Oreochromis niloticus: one gene and its partner. The protein of the gene in region 2 interacts with the protein of the main gene of each other region in a pairwise test. Links are inferred from orthologs where the notes say so. Each region holds a gene or a part of one and is shown on either strand. Other genes may lie near its edges.

Region 1 (7,281 bases), on a different chromosome or scaffold from region 2:
GCATTCTCTGCTTACATACATATATTATTTGTGAGATTAAATGCATATTGAATGCATGTAAATGAGAGCAAAATGTAGGAATGCATAAATGAAAATGTATGTATGTGAGAGTGAAAATGTATGTATGTGAGAGTGAAAATATATATGTGTGTGAAAGAAGAATGTATGTGTGTGAGAGTGAAAGAATGAAAATATATGTATGTGAGAGTGAAAATATATGTATGTGAGAGTGAAAATATATGTGTGTGAGAGAAGAATGTATGTGTGTGAGAGTGAAAGAATGAATTTTGGCTTGTACGGCCCCTCATAGTTACTGTTAATCTGACTATCTTCAGGTTTTACACGCTTACATATACACACGCAGTTACTGTCCCTCCATTTAGAAAGGCAGAGGCGTCATGGTGTAATTATTTTACCTGTAGTTGTTTTTTTTCCTGTGTAATAATATTCAACATTGCTATCAATACATTTTTCAAAAAATGCCTCTCTGTGCAAAATGGGTTTAAACACATAAACAGCTGTGGGATACTGTTTGTCCATGATTTGAACAGGGGGAACAAATTACGGCAGGATCAGCCTGATATTATTTGTATCCCACTGTAACTTTACTGCATAAAGAGCTAACATCATGTTAGCTCTTGATTTTTAGTTCACAAACACTTCTTGTAATAACTAACAAATGTCAGGAGTAGTTAGTTATTACAAGAAGTGTTTGTGAACTAAAAATCAAGAATGTGAGATACTGTTTGTCCGTGATTTGGAGAGCACAGCGCGTGCTCCCGACGCAGGGAAACTAATTTTGCAGGGGAGACCTACCTCGGCACTTGTGCAGGTGAAGCCAAAGGGAAGATATGCTTCACCATATTTTCCTGTCTTTGGCTTGGAAGGAAGTTGGTTTGGAAACATATTTGGCGATGCTTCATCTCCTGCTTTGCGTTTGTGTGGGAGCCCCGTCAAAAACCTGTCCACAGTGTCCAAGCGCTCTTTTTTTTTTTTTTCTTTTCATACCGCGCACCCCCTGCAATGGCTCTGCGCCCCCCCCAGGGGGCGGGCCCCACACTTTGGGAACCTCTGTGCTAGAGGGTGTGGGGAAATAACGCTACATGTGCCTGTATAGTAAAAAACACAAGTCTGTATGTTTTCACCCTTGTTTAAACAAAAACATGTTTTATTTGCGATGTCAAGAAAAATGGCTACTCTGTCCTACCTTTTATGGCTTGCCATGCACATGTAAATGGTTTTTGGTTACTGAAAACAGAACGTCTGAAAAAAACTCATTCCATGGTAAAGATTCTCAGACACTGTTTCTATGTACATGTATGTATAGAAGGAACAAGAAGAATTTGTTTTTTAGCATCAACGTTGTGCATCTTTTTGTCTTTTTTTTGACACGGAAATGCAGTTAAAAGATCAAAATTTATGCACTTCATTGGGCCAGATGTGTTTACTGGGCCATTTATGACCCTCTGGCCTTGTGTTTGACATCTGTCCTCTAGAACGTCACCTGCTGGCTTCTGGACTACCATTTTCAACTCTCAGTGTTAACTTTTTGTCCGTAAAAAGGAACCACATTTGAATGACAGGGAGATTTAGCAAGCTGCATCCAAAAACTATATAGTTTTATCCCGAGTCTCTGGGTTCAGTGGTTAGAGACACACTTGCTAATTATTGCCAAGTGAAAAAGTCATATGAAAGATGCATGTACCCCTTGTGCTTTCACCTGTCGTTAGCCGTTAAAACAGCTCAAGTTTAAGGCACTTCTACGTTGAATTCACTTTTGAGACCCAAATTTAAATCCATCTTTTATAATAATAATAACATTTTTAAAAGATTTTTGCTCACAAAAAATGCACCATCAGCAGATAGAGAGGTTCTGTTCCTGTGGCGTGTCCAGCGGGGTGGCCTGGGGGGGCACAGGCCACCCCCCCAACCAGACTGGCCACCCCAGGTGCCACCCCGAAGCCAAAACAATAAAATCCAATGAAAAATCAAATGTACGATTATGTTTTCACAGTGAAGCTCAGATATCCGAGTGTAAGTGAATGCAGCATCGGCTTCTGAGCTATGAGCATCGTGTTAGCAAAGGTAGGAGAGCCAAGCAAGAAAGAGGCACCGCAGAAAAAAGTTTTTCGGCGAAAGATTAACAGTTTAGCTGGACTGGCCATCGAGCATGGCGGAGCTTCCACAGCGGCTAGCAGGTGGATGCGTGAAGGGGAGGCAGGAGGAGAGACCCGAGGCGGCCGCCGGTCCCAGTGTCAGGTGAACTGAACTTCAGGTAAGAAGTTATGACCTGCAGTCTATCTGGGTCAGATATAAACCAAGTTTAGGTGGAGTTTATTTTTGTTATGCTGACTTTTTACAGTCAGTTACAATAACTCATACTGCGTGCTAGCTAGCATGACATAGTTTCTATACAGCTGGGTGGGTGCTGTGATGTTACTGATAGTGAACTTTATTTTATTCATAAGTTTAGTTAGTAGAGTTTCCAACCGCTCCTTAAAAAATGGAATGGTCCCTCATTCAGAGAAAATATTACAGGTTTCGTATTGAGCTGAGAAGAGACGCAGTTTGTCCCGGACTTCAGCTAGAATGGAAAAAAGACACAAAGCTGGAGTTATTCTGTGTCTTTGCTGCACAGCTGCCTCTTCTTCTCTCATTCTCTCCCCCTCCCTCTCCTGTTGCTACTTCAATCATGAAACTGATCAATGATCAGCTGATCGGCTTTTCTCTCGTTTGTTTATCACCCACTTTGCACCAGAAAGAGGAAACTAGCGGATGTCGCGCTAAACAACAGCAGCACGTTTAAGCTTGATCAGCTGTTGTTAGAATTTATTTAATATTAATTTCTAGTATCAGCTGATGTTTGCTGGAGCCACAGCTGTAAAGCTGCTGGTCATGATGTCGGTTTGGATATGTGGTGAGAGGGAAACATGCAGATGAAACCAGGAGATGTCCTTACTGAATCATCAGAGCTGAACAGGTGATGGAGAAACAGGTTTACCTTGTAGGTGACATGAATGAGTTGAAGTTATGAACTGTTTCTGAGAGACAAATAACACCAGGATCCTTTTCTATGTAGCTGACAGCTGGTAACTGTGCAGGGGCGGATCTAGCAAAGTTATGCCAGGGGGCCAACAGGGAAAGGGGGGCACAAAGAAATACTTTTCTTTCTTATTCTCATTTAAAATATTTAGCTTTTATTAAATAAATATCTGAATCTTGCGAACAAAGTTTTTATCTGACGTAAAATTGATAGAAATCATACATATACCAACACGACAGTGTACATCACTGTCACAACAGCGTTTGTTTTCATTCAAAGGCTTTATGGCTTTAATACCTGGCGGGCCGGTCTCTGGTCAAAATGCCTGATTTTTCGTTCCAGTCCAGCCTGCAGGTTAATACTGGCAGTGTCACCATGCCAGCTGACTGTATTTTATCATCAGCCAGTGTTGTTCTTTATACATCAATATTACCAAAGTTTACCATAAGGCAGCATAGAAAGTATTTACTTGCTTTCAGGTTTTATTCAAATGTTAGTCTTTTCATTTGTTTCCCCACTTTTTTCCTGTTTCAAAATCAAACACCAGTTTGTAAGAAGATTATCTTCTTTTTTTAATAGGCAGATAAAGTTTTGCATTGGCTAATTTGCCAATTGTATGTTAAAAATGTTCGTATTTTAATATTTAAAAATGTTTTTGCCCAAAACATACGTGCACTATATGTCAGTAAAAATACTATGCAAATATTGCTGCACCATAGTGGTTAAAACCTTGTTCTAATAAGAGTCAAAAGCAAATTCAGTTATTAGGTTTACAGGGTTATTGAATGATGGTTAACTGTTGGTAGAATTTTTTTAACATTATCTGCCAATTACATCTGCCACCCTTCTCCAAATCTGTGCCCCTACCTGGCCCCCCCAACAAAAATTTTCTAGACACGCCACTGTTCTGTTCAGTGACTCAAATTAGCAGAGCGTTACCAGCTACAGCTTCCTATGCTTGGAGGACAAACTTTTTCCTGTAACACAAGCATTTTATTTATTTTTTTTAAATTATTATTAAATACTATTTAATTGTCTACACTCCTTTTCAGGGTACGAGCATTGACCATGTTCTTTTAATTGCTGTAAAGTTTGGCTATGGGGGATTGACTCGCTTTTGGGACCAGCCTCAAATGCCTATTTCAAGAACTGCAGTTTTTGGTTTCAGTTCTCAGCTTGCTTCGCTTCTGGATTCACTTTGGAGTGGGTGATTTCTGACAGTCGTTGAACGCAGCATTAGTTCAACCAACTTGTTGCTCATTCAGAGAAACGCCTCCTATTCCTCCTCCTGCTCTCCTAAACTCAATCCCTGCAGCTCTCTCGCTCTCACTCCTGACGGGTAACCGGAGCGTGAACATGGCTGCTAACCGGGTGATCGTTTACGGTGGGAGAGGCGCTCTGGGCTCAAAGTGTGTCGAGTATTTCAAATCTAAAGGATGGGTGAGTGGTGACAGCTAACGCTAGCATGCTAGCACTGATAAACGGTGAGCTAACTATATTTCTCTTTCTCTGTGCACTAAATAGTGGGTCGCCAGCATCGACATAGGTGCAAATGAAGAGGCTAATGAAAACGTGGTCGTGAAGATGACGGAGTCTTTCACCGAGCAAGCAGGACAGGTGCTCTGCAGGTCTTTCTTACTCATCAGTGCAAAAACTGAAGCGCTAACAGACAGGAGTAGGGCTGTTACTGCGACAGCTAAAGTCAGACTTTTCATGTGACTGAAGTATAACTCCAATGACATTTGTTTGTTATTTTATTATTGTTAAAATTATTATTATTATTACAACTATTTGCATTGTTCAGTAATAGTAGAGTTGCTAAAATGTGTGTAAGCTAATGCTGCGTTCAGGTCACACTGAGAAAGTGGGGATTTCGGTTTTTATAGTAGAGAGGTTATGATAGAGTCACATTACTGTGATGATTTTTTTTCTTATTTGTTTAGGCAGCATTAATGGTTATCTAAACTATACTTCTTTTTCTTGAACATCTTAATAGCTTTTATAGCTCAAATCTATTCATTGAGAGCATCTAAGGGTAGAGAGAGTATAAAAAGCCAAGGTAAGTAACACTATTAAAGCTGATCTTAAATGGTCTTATTTGACACACAGAAATATATTTATCATTTGATGCATCTCTTTTTGCTCATTTTATCTGACTTTGATAAAAATTGGTAGCATCCCTTCTCTCTGTATAATTGCTTTTGGTAAGATATTTTATGCACTTTATAAAATAAAAAGTGTGTTTTTAGAAATCTAACAGTGCACCTACTGAGTGAGGATAATTTCTACAGCTATCCTCCTTTGTTTGTTTACCAGAACAAACACTCTCCAGCTGATGCTTAGTTGACATTTAAATGCCATTCAGCTTGTGCGTCAGCCCCCAAGCTTTATGTCACTGTGTTAGCAGTTAGCTCTCATTTTGTGCAGGTGACGGCAGATGTGGCCCAGTTGCTAGGGGAACAGAAAGTGGATGCCATCTTGTGCGTGGCGGGAGGATGGGCGGGAGGAAACTGTAGTTCCAAAGGTCAGAGTTCAACCTTTTTTTTTTTTATTTGTTTTGATGTTAATAATCAGCCAGCTTTCCTGCAGCCTCCCATGCATAATTGTGAACTTGAAAACAATTTGCTGTGTAATTAAATAAAGTCTAAGGGATATTTGTGATGAGACTTTTTCTTGAATCTCGTTTACTTAGAAGTGTTCAAATCTTGTTCTGCGGGGCCAAAAGCTTGCCAGATTTTTGTTCTGCCAGTTAGCTTTTTGGTATTTATTCCATAGCTGTACCTGGCAGCAAAGGGAAAGCAGCAGTTCTCTTGAAGTGCCAGAATTGATGTGCACTGTGCAGCTAATAAGAAGTTTGTGGTTGCCGAAAATTCAGCCATTTCAAACATTTGGAGGAAAAGGCACTCACTTTCTGGCAAAGATGAAAAGACTGGCATGAATGAAGCTACTCAAAACAGCTGGTCTACATGGCAGGCTCAGATTAACAAGTTAGTGTATTAAATCTTTACAAATACCAGTGTTTATAAACAGCAATTCACCATTTAATAGATGAGGTACGTGCCAGCAATGATTCCTGGCAATGAACGGTTGTCAGGCAGTCTGGTAAGGCTTCAGGAAGTTTCTGGTCCAAGCCAAGAAATAATCTGACACAGAAACCCTGTAAAAATGGCAATTTGATCTTTTTTACTCAAGCTTTTGTACAGATCAAACAAACCTTTTAGAGGCACTCGCAGCTTTCGGCACTGCTTTGAAGAGCCAGGCTAAGATGTTGTTCTCTGTAATCTCCTACAGACTTGTACAAAAATGCCGATTTGATGTGGAAACAGAGCGTGTGGACTTCAACCATCTCCAGCCACCTTGCTGCCTTGCACCTAAAAACAGGTGGACTGCTGACTCTGGCTGGAGCTAAAGCAGCCCAGTCAGGCACTGGAGGTGAGGCACACAGTTTTTGTTGCGTGTTTACTGTTCTCATCATAGCGAACTGATAGCCTGCTCCTCAGGGTTACAGACTTTGACCAGGGTAATTGACACACTGATCAGAGGCGCACCTGCTCACAGCAGTGTGCGCGATTGGGGGCGAAATGTGTCGATAACATTGATCCAAGAAGCAAAACAGAAGGGAAAAGAGACAGAATCGCTGATGAGCTCTGCGGCAGCAGTGGTGCTCACTGGTTAGTGAGTCTGTTTCACAAACAAAAAGTAATTGGTTTGATTGCCAAAACAGCATGTTTGTCCACCACAAACCTTCCCCTGTGTTGTTGAGCAATTGACTCAACCAACCTGCTTAATCGTTTTAAGATATCCGGGGCAAGAGTGAATAAATAAAAAATAAGGTTAATGAAAGTAGATAAATTAGAAGAATAACAGAACACTAAAGGAAAATTTATGCTAAGAACCATAAGTTATATATTACATAAGGATTAATGCATACAGTACTGCACAAAAGTCTTGAGCCACCCTCCACTTTATGTTTTTCCAAAAAAATTGGGAAATGGGTGTAGCGATTTATTGAAATGTGCAAATTTGGATTAATCACTCCGTACAACATGTTTTCACTTCAGTTCTTTTTGTAATCTGGCAAACCTTGGCTGCTTTCTCGCCATTTGCCTTCCTTCAAGAATAATATCTTCTTGACATCCAGTCTTCTGCTGAAACAATTTCTCATGAGGCTTCCGTGAGGAGTAGATGGATTCATTGAAGGGCTAGATGCATTCCTCAGTTCCCGTGTCAGGTTTTTC
Region 2 (7,386 bases):
CACTTGATGTCATACAGCTCTACTGAATTTAAAACTGAAGTAATACTAACCCAAACCCAAGTATAACATGCCCTAATGGCTTTAGTTCAGCATCTAAGCATAGAAACTACAAGTAAGAAAAATTCACAGCCAAATGAATAAATACGCATGCAATAGCTGAATGATCAAAATATTTCTATTGAGGATTATTTACCTGCAGCTGCGTAGGGGGCCATGGCGTGTGCGTCAGGTGGCGCACTTGGGAGCTGTGTCTGCCCAAGCTCCGATGAACACTGCAGCACTCGTCACAGATCAACACGCCTCTGTTCACCGAGGCCCAGCGAGGTTCTGAGCAAGAACAGAAAACAACCAAGTCACAATTATGATAGATAAATTGAGCAGCTTAGAGTATAATCTTGGAGTTAGAGCATTTCACTGGTTTTACTTCGATCAAGCCGGAAGTTAATCTTTCTTTCTCTTTTTATCATCATTCAAATCAACTCAGTGCTTCCCTTTCGACAACAAGCTGGAGCCAAAGAGTCTCCTGTTACCACTGTTGTAAGATGACTACTACAGGCAGGTGCTTACTTGGTAATAATTATGATATTTTGAAAAATCATCATTTGATAGTTCTTACTCACAAGTACTGCTAATTTACCCAAAGTTTAATACAGTTTATTCTTCTGTGCCATAGGACTCTTGAAAATTATAGGCAAGCCACACTGATATCAGTACTTTACACACCATTACACACCTACAAAAATGAGCTCTCAAATTTTTAAAAGCACAGAACTAAAGCTTTTACATGGATCCCTCATAATTGTGACAGATTTAGCTGAATTGGGCTTAAGACAACTATCTTTTAGGTTCCAAGCACCCTAAAAAGAGTTGTGATTTCATGACAGAAGGAGATGAAATCGGAGTTTCGAGACAACATAAGAGTTTCAGTTGGGTCAAAGATGCCACAGAAGGAAATAATCGACAGAATCTGATTGTTTTGATAGCATAAATAGTCCCCATATGTATAAGGTATTTCGTTTTTGATTGCTATGGCATGACTTTATGAGCTAAACCATATTATTTTAGGGACCCCTTAGCACAAAGCCAGACCCGCTCTGAGAAAACAAACATATAGTTATCTATAGCTGAGAAAGATCCCTGAAAAACAGGCTGTTTAATCCTGTTCAAGTGGCATTTGCTGAAAACTAGTGTCCTGCTGGAAGAAATAGCCGAGGCTTTTGAAAATGGTTATTTCATATATTTTATTTTTTTAAAAATCATTGGCTTTCAACACATGGGATTAACAAAATGTTGGTGTTGGAGTTTTCATTAAATTTCTGGACACTAGATCACAATGTAATGTATGTCATATAATTAAACATAATAATATCACAAGATGCTGAGTGGAGGCTTTAAGATCTAATGAAGACAAACACAATCCAAGAAAGAAAGAAAAGAAAAAGCCAAACTCCAACAGGCTGTGAAAAAGGTCACATTCATAGTCATGTATCGCCTTTCTGACTGCAGATTTAGGTGAAGCTATGTGTTGTGTAAAAAGGAAGTGAAGACTAGCGCTTGTAGGTCGAGGCGCCTCATAACAGAGCAGCTTCCTCTTTCAAAGCACTATAAAGAAAATACCTGAAGAACTAAGAATCTTAGAACAGAGCTGCAATATTAACCTAATGCGTGGTGTTAGTGCCCTGTGAATTAAAAGTCTACTATGACTCTGTGACCAAAATAAATGTGTTTACTTAACCTTGACCTATTTTGCACGGTTCATGTAGTGCAAAAGTCACAGAGTTGTCTTCCATCTGTGCACAGACTCTTCTTGACAGCAAACATCAAGACTAGAAACACTGTAAAATGATACAGCACTAAAGCCCACTGAGTTTTAAGCAGATAGAGTGACGGGACAGGCGCTGTAAAAATCCCGACAGCAGCTGCAGTGCAGGAGCAACAGATGCAGGAGGTCGCTGGACAGATTGTGGTTCCTGGTCCCCAAGTTTTCAGAATTTCCTTCTAACAACTCTCCCTCAGGACCCCCCGAGTCTCAGTGCTCTCCTCAGCACGTGCTGCTAAATTTAATACCACATCTTGAAACGCTAAAAATATTCACACCCAACAACTGGTAGCAACCATAAAGTGGGGCGATCCAGGGCAGTTGCTGAGGAGAGCTCAGGGTTAACCAATGACATGAGTGACACGATGACAGACGAGCTTCTTAATATTTGCCTTCCGCTGAATGATGCAAAACAAACCAATGTATATTCTATTATTAGACTTTATTTAATTTACAGTGCATTATGTTGCCACAAGAAGAAAAAAAAATAAAATCTCTCCTGCATTGAGTATGCGGTCGATTCACTCAGCATCCTGTTTTGCTTCCTGTGCCTGCTGAACAGCATCACGTCATTTCTATACAAGTGGAACTTCTGTAAGTACAGCCTCAGACACAATACAACAATTGTATGCTCAGCTCTCAGAGCTTGGTGCCATTGGCCCCGAAAAACAGAGCTCTGTTAGAGGGTGCTGGTTTACCCTGATGTTTACCCTGATTAATAAGTGGTTATAGCACTCATTTTTTACTCTATTACTACACATAGCACAGTAAAGTCACTGGTTACAGATGACACAGACTGCAGATTTGGGTTAAGGATGCAACGACTTTTTAAAATAATCAAATCTTTATGAATACAGTAGGAAATACCATACAGTCATTACTCATTAACACCTTTAGTTCAGATCAGTTACATCGTGCCAGAAGACCACTGTTATGCCCTTTTTTATTGCACTTTACTCATGAGAAACAGTTCATCCCAGCAGTTGAAAGCTCATTTTACAACGGGCATATAAAAGGGACATATCATATAATTATAATAGGGTTTTGGCTGGTTATTAAACCAACCGGCACCCTAAAAACTCCTTTCATGAAGGGAGCTATGGCGTTAGAGAAGAATACTAAATAGGTAAATACCCTAAATTTCTGTAAAGAGAAACCAACGTGTTGCCAGCGCTGCTAATCGGATTTATTTGGATTTGGGGTGTTTCTTAAGCACCAAATGTCAGCTAACAGACAAACACTGCATGGATGGTGTGAGTTTTACTTACCTGGGACACAGCAATCTGCGCAGACCTCAGTGTTTCGCAGGCGTTTAGACATCCTCAACTCGGGAAGAAACGCCTTTTAAAACTGAGTAGAGGAAATTGTGTCCGTTATGCTAACCATTGATTACTCTGTTAAGATACCTTCCGCGTTAGCTAAACCCAGCAAATTAAAAACAATCCGACAACTAACTATCGTACTTACTTCGTTTAACCGTTGCGAGCCTTTTCGTTTTGGCTAGCGTTGGAGTTATGACCATGATAACATTTCCTCCCGCTACAACGCCGCTCGTCTGCAAGTGAGCTGACTGAGCAGCCACCTGATTAGCTAACTAGCCTGTGCACACTTGGTAGTTTACTCCTCTGCCTCTAGACAGCAGCATTTAGCGCTAGCGCGATCCCAGAGGCAGCTGTGACTGTGACCTATAAATGCGGTGTACTGTGCCCATAGTTTTGACTCTCAGGAAATAAACCTCTCAAAATAATACGAATAAGTCCTTCTTGAAATTTGTTCCGATTCTCTAATTTTATAGCTACAGGTAAACATGAAATATGAATACAACACAATACTTATGGAGCTCTTTTTTTGTCGGTACACAACCTGACAGATTAAAATCAGGGTCTTAATTTTCCCTAAAAGAGGTGAGTTTGATCTACTCACCTTGGAGTACACTGTAGTATTTTGTTATGTCTTAAATTGAGCTCCATAAATGTTCACCTACCGACGGCCTTTTAAATCGCGCTTTGTACATCTTTAACACTGATGCAATGTTAGATTAAAAAAAAAACAAAATACAAGACATGAAAACAGTCATGTGTATTAAATCATATATTAAAATTTGACTCCGCAGAGCAGAAAAAGGCACCGAACGTAACTGAGACAGAGGAGTTTTTAATTAATATTGATTTGTGAAGTTTAAAACAATAGGACGGATACATACAACTTTATATACTATCTTTAAATTTAGCAGGCGTAGTTATGTACATTATAACCTGGCGGTACAGATTTAGATTTTTAACCCGCTCCCACCCCCTCCCTCAAAACGTAATATTGCCGATCCCATTTCAATGTTATAGGGCAAAATAAAACAATTTACTTTCTAGGAATTTACATGGTTTGTTTAGCTGATGTCTGCACAATATAGTGGCGCTACATTTCAAGAATTCAAAATATGGGAACCAAAGTTAGACAATATAGAAATCACTTTATTTAGTCATAGTATTAACAATGAAGGTTCTTCAACCCCCATGTCGACATGCTAAATGGTTGAGTCCAGACTGGAAGTGTCTATTATTTTTTTAAAGGCGATGATTTTATCTACGAGTGCCGTTTCATTTGTTTTTAGCCTAAAGGAATATTTTGTAAACCGTATATAAAGAAGGTGTCACTTTAAAATCGACCATTAGGTTACCTTAATCAGGCGATATTTAATGGACCGCGAGTCTGTTTCTATATAGAACACCCCTGTCGTTGCTGGGAAATACTCCTGGCACTTCCTTGTTCAAAAGTTTTATTTAGGGGAAGGCTTGGGGGGGAAAGTTGGTCACCGGATTGGTTATTACTTCGACGCTGCTGTCAGACATTAAAGGCATGGATCAAAGCTTTTTGGCGTAACTACTGTGGCTGTCCCAGCTTTTCTCATGGCTCCAGTTGTTAGAGGGTGGCTAACGTTGCACTGAAAGAAAGAGGAAGATGTCCATGGCTAACATTAGCGAAGACATCAGGGTGAAGTTTCCCCTGCATTCCGCAGTGTGGGAGAATGACTACAGGAAGCTGGAGCAGCTATTAACATCAACGCAGGTTGGTTAAAACCACTGGAGAGGTTGGTAACCTTGGCACCAATACTCAGCTAGCCGGACTAAACCAGGAGTGAGCTGCTGAATTTCCGCAGGCAGGCAGTTAAAGAAGGCCAGTGGTGTTTACAGATGCTCCGCAGGCAGCCACATACACATGACATTGAGTAGCTCAGCTTTTTACGCATCTAGAAGTTTGAAAGCTTTAAAAGACAAACAAACAAAAAGTCTTCCGGTACAGACTGGTAACTTGTTTCCAGTTAAAATGTAAGCTTCTGTCCCATTTCACTGGATTCCTCAAATACACTGATTAACAGACAGCAGTACGTGTTTTATCACTCGCATGGATACATTTGTTGTTTATTTTGCACTACTTACAGTAACTCGGCATTGCTATTTAGCTTCAAAGTGGAGAGATCCAGTGGCTCAAACAATAAACAGTGTTAGGGATGGGTATTGATAAGAGTTTATTGATACAAATGCCATTATTAATTCTCTTTATAGGTCAGATTGGTTTTCACTGTCAACACACAGTTTCATTTTCACTGCTTGGACAAAGTGTAGGGGGGGAAAAAGCTTGCATGTGACACAGGTGTGTAAAAAGTGCCGCTATCATGAGTCTGGTGTCACTGTTGTGCAATCTGCAACTTTTGGAAAACATGCCATGTGCTGTGAAAAAGATTTGATGTTTTGGGGGGTTTATGATAATCCGATGAATAGTATAAGCTCTGGATTCCCATCCCTAAGCCAATAATTACCTCAAGACATGCTGGAGAGTTTATTTTATTTATTTAAAATAGACAATGCAGTTTGACATAGTTCCAGTACAGAGCATGAAACTGATGTGCCGCACAAAGAGTTTATAGCTATTCCTAATTTCCAGCCCTTGTCCCTTGTTGGGCTTATACATCCACACTACACAATTATTATGATTTCTTTGTACTGACTCCAGCAGTTTTATATCATTATTAGCCATGACAAAATTACATGTTGTTGACTGCATTGGTTATAATAATCGCTTGGAGGTTCTTATGTCAGCTCAGTAGTATTTAGTCTAAACAGGCACCTTATTATTTTTCAGAATGACATCGAGGCTGTGGATCCCAGAGGCCGAACACCTCTACACCTGGCTGTATCACTCGGGCACCTGGAGTCAGTGAGAATCCTGCTGAGACATGGCGCTCAAGTGACTAAAGAAAATGCCAATAATTGGACAGGTTTGTTACAAAGCTAGCTACATAACAGACAAGGAGGGCTAGGATTTGGATTGGTTTGTTGGTTCATTTTAGATCCCTGCTGTCTATAACCCTAACCATCATCTGCTGTTGACGAGGTTTCTTGTAAATATACTTATCCAAGAATATCAACTCCTACAACTGCAGTAAAACGGTTTCTTTGGTCTTTAATTTCATTGCTGAGGTTTTTAATGGTTAATCGTTTCTCAGAGGAAACGGATGCTGTTCCATTAAAAGGTTTAGTGGTTTTTTCTGCTTGACTTTCTATGGGCAGTGCTGCAGGAAGCAGTCAGCACAGGAGATCCAGAGATGGTTCAGTTAGTGCTTCAACGCAGAGACTACCTCAAAGCCTCCACTGCCCTGGGAGGAGTGCCTGAGCTGCTGTCAAAGATCCGAGTGGTGTGACTTCATATATTTTTCCCTTTTGCTTGTCATCATTTGTAAGTGTGCCTGGAAACATTTAAAATATTTCTTTTCCCTTTTCTAGTCTCCAGACTTCTATATGGAGATGAAATGGGAATTCACCAGTTGGAGTAAGTTCTTTTTTTTTGTGAGTGGAAATATATATATTTTTAAGTAGATTTTTAAAGTAGACAAGTGTATAAATGGTATTATGTTCATGCAAAAACAGCTGGTTTATCAGAAATCCAGTATGCAAAAGAGGGATGGTTTTAAAAAGTTTTTTTTATTTAAGGCAGCAGTCTGTTTTTAAAGATTGACGCTTTTCCTGTGTGGCTTCATCAGGTCACACAGGAAAAACTACATACCTGCCCGCTGCCAGGTGAAGTATTTGTTTGCTTAAGTGGTGTTTTTCACGTATGGATGCTTTTTGTTTCTGTATCCCGTTGTTTCGCAGTTCCTCTCGTGTCCCGGGTTTGTCCGAGTGATGTTTGCCGCATTTGGAAAAGCGGCGCCTCGCTGCGAGTGGATGTTACTCTTCTAGGCTTTGAGAACATGACCTGGATCAGAGGGCGTAGAAGCTACATCTTCAGAGGAGATGGCATGTGTTTACACTCCCTCACACAGTCAAGTTTTCTTTGCTGCTGTTTTGGTTAAAATGGTCTAAGCGACTCCCTGTCTGTGTGTCGGCAGATTCATTTGCAGAGCTGATGGAGGTGAACCACGACGATGAAGTCGTGGACATCGAACGCTTCAACATATCCCAAGAAATGGAGGATGTGACGTTAGAGTCAATGCAGCCAGCTGAGCAGGAAGTTGCCAAAAGGTTGACGACTCCTATTGTCAACACCTACTTGGACACAAAGGATATTGCTTT

Evidence for each region.
Region 1: the proteins of ankrd13a (region 2) and qdpra interact in a two-hybrid assay, tested with the Homo sapiens proteins (2 studies listed by BioGRID). The two-hybrid records come from large-scale screens. The link is inferred for Oreochromis niloticus from reciprocal best matches to the Homo sapiens genes ANKRD13A and QDPR.

The regions. Positions count from the first base shown.
Region 1 is NC_031966.2:12,137,834-12,145,114, reverse strand, and holds the start of qdpra (quinoid dihydropteridine reductase a), read left to right. Parts: upstream 1-4,265; 5' UTR 4,266-4,399; coding exon 4,400-4,483; intron 4,484-4,567; coding exon 4,568-4,660; intron 4,661-5,470; coding exon 5,471-5,567; intron 5,568-6,334; coding exon 6,335-6,475; intron 6,476-7,281. UniProt on the Homo sapiens protein: Catalyzes the conversion of quinonoid dihydrobiopterin into tetrahydrobiopterin.
Region 2 is NC_031977.2:18,122,726-18,130,111, forward strand, and holds the start of ankrd13a (ankyrin repeat domain-containing protein 13A), read left to right. Parts: upstream 1-4,365; 5' UTR 4,366-4,774; coding exon 4,775-4,882; intron 4,883-5,956; coding exon 5,957-6,092; intron 6,093-6,384; coding exon 6,385-6,509; intron 6,510-6,597; coding exon 6,598-6,643; intron 6,644-6,966; coding exon 6,967-7,110; intron 7,111-7,202; coding exon 7,203-7,386. Other genes in the region: ARF GTPase-activating protein GIT2a, read right to left, coding at 194-327, 3,088-3,139. UniProt on the Homo sapiens protein: Ubiquitin-binding protein that specifically recognizes and binds 'Lys-63'-linked ubiquitin. Does not bind 'Lys-48'-linked ubiquitin.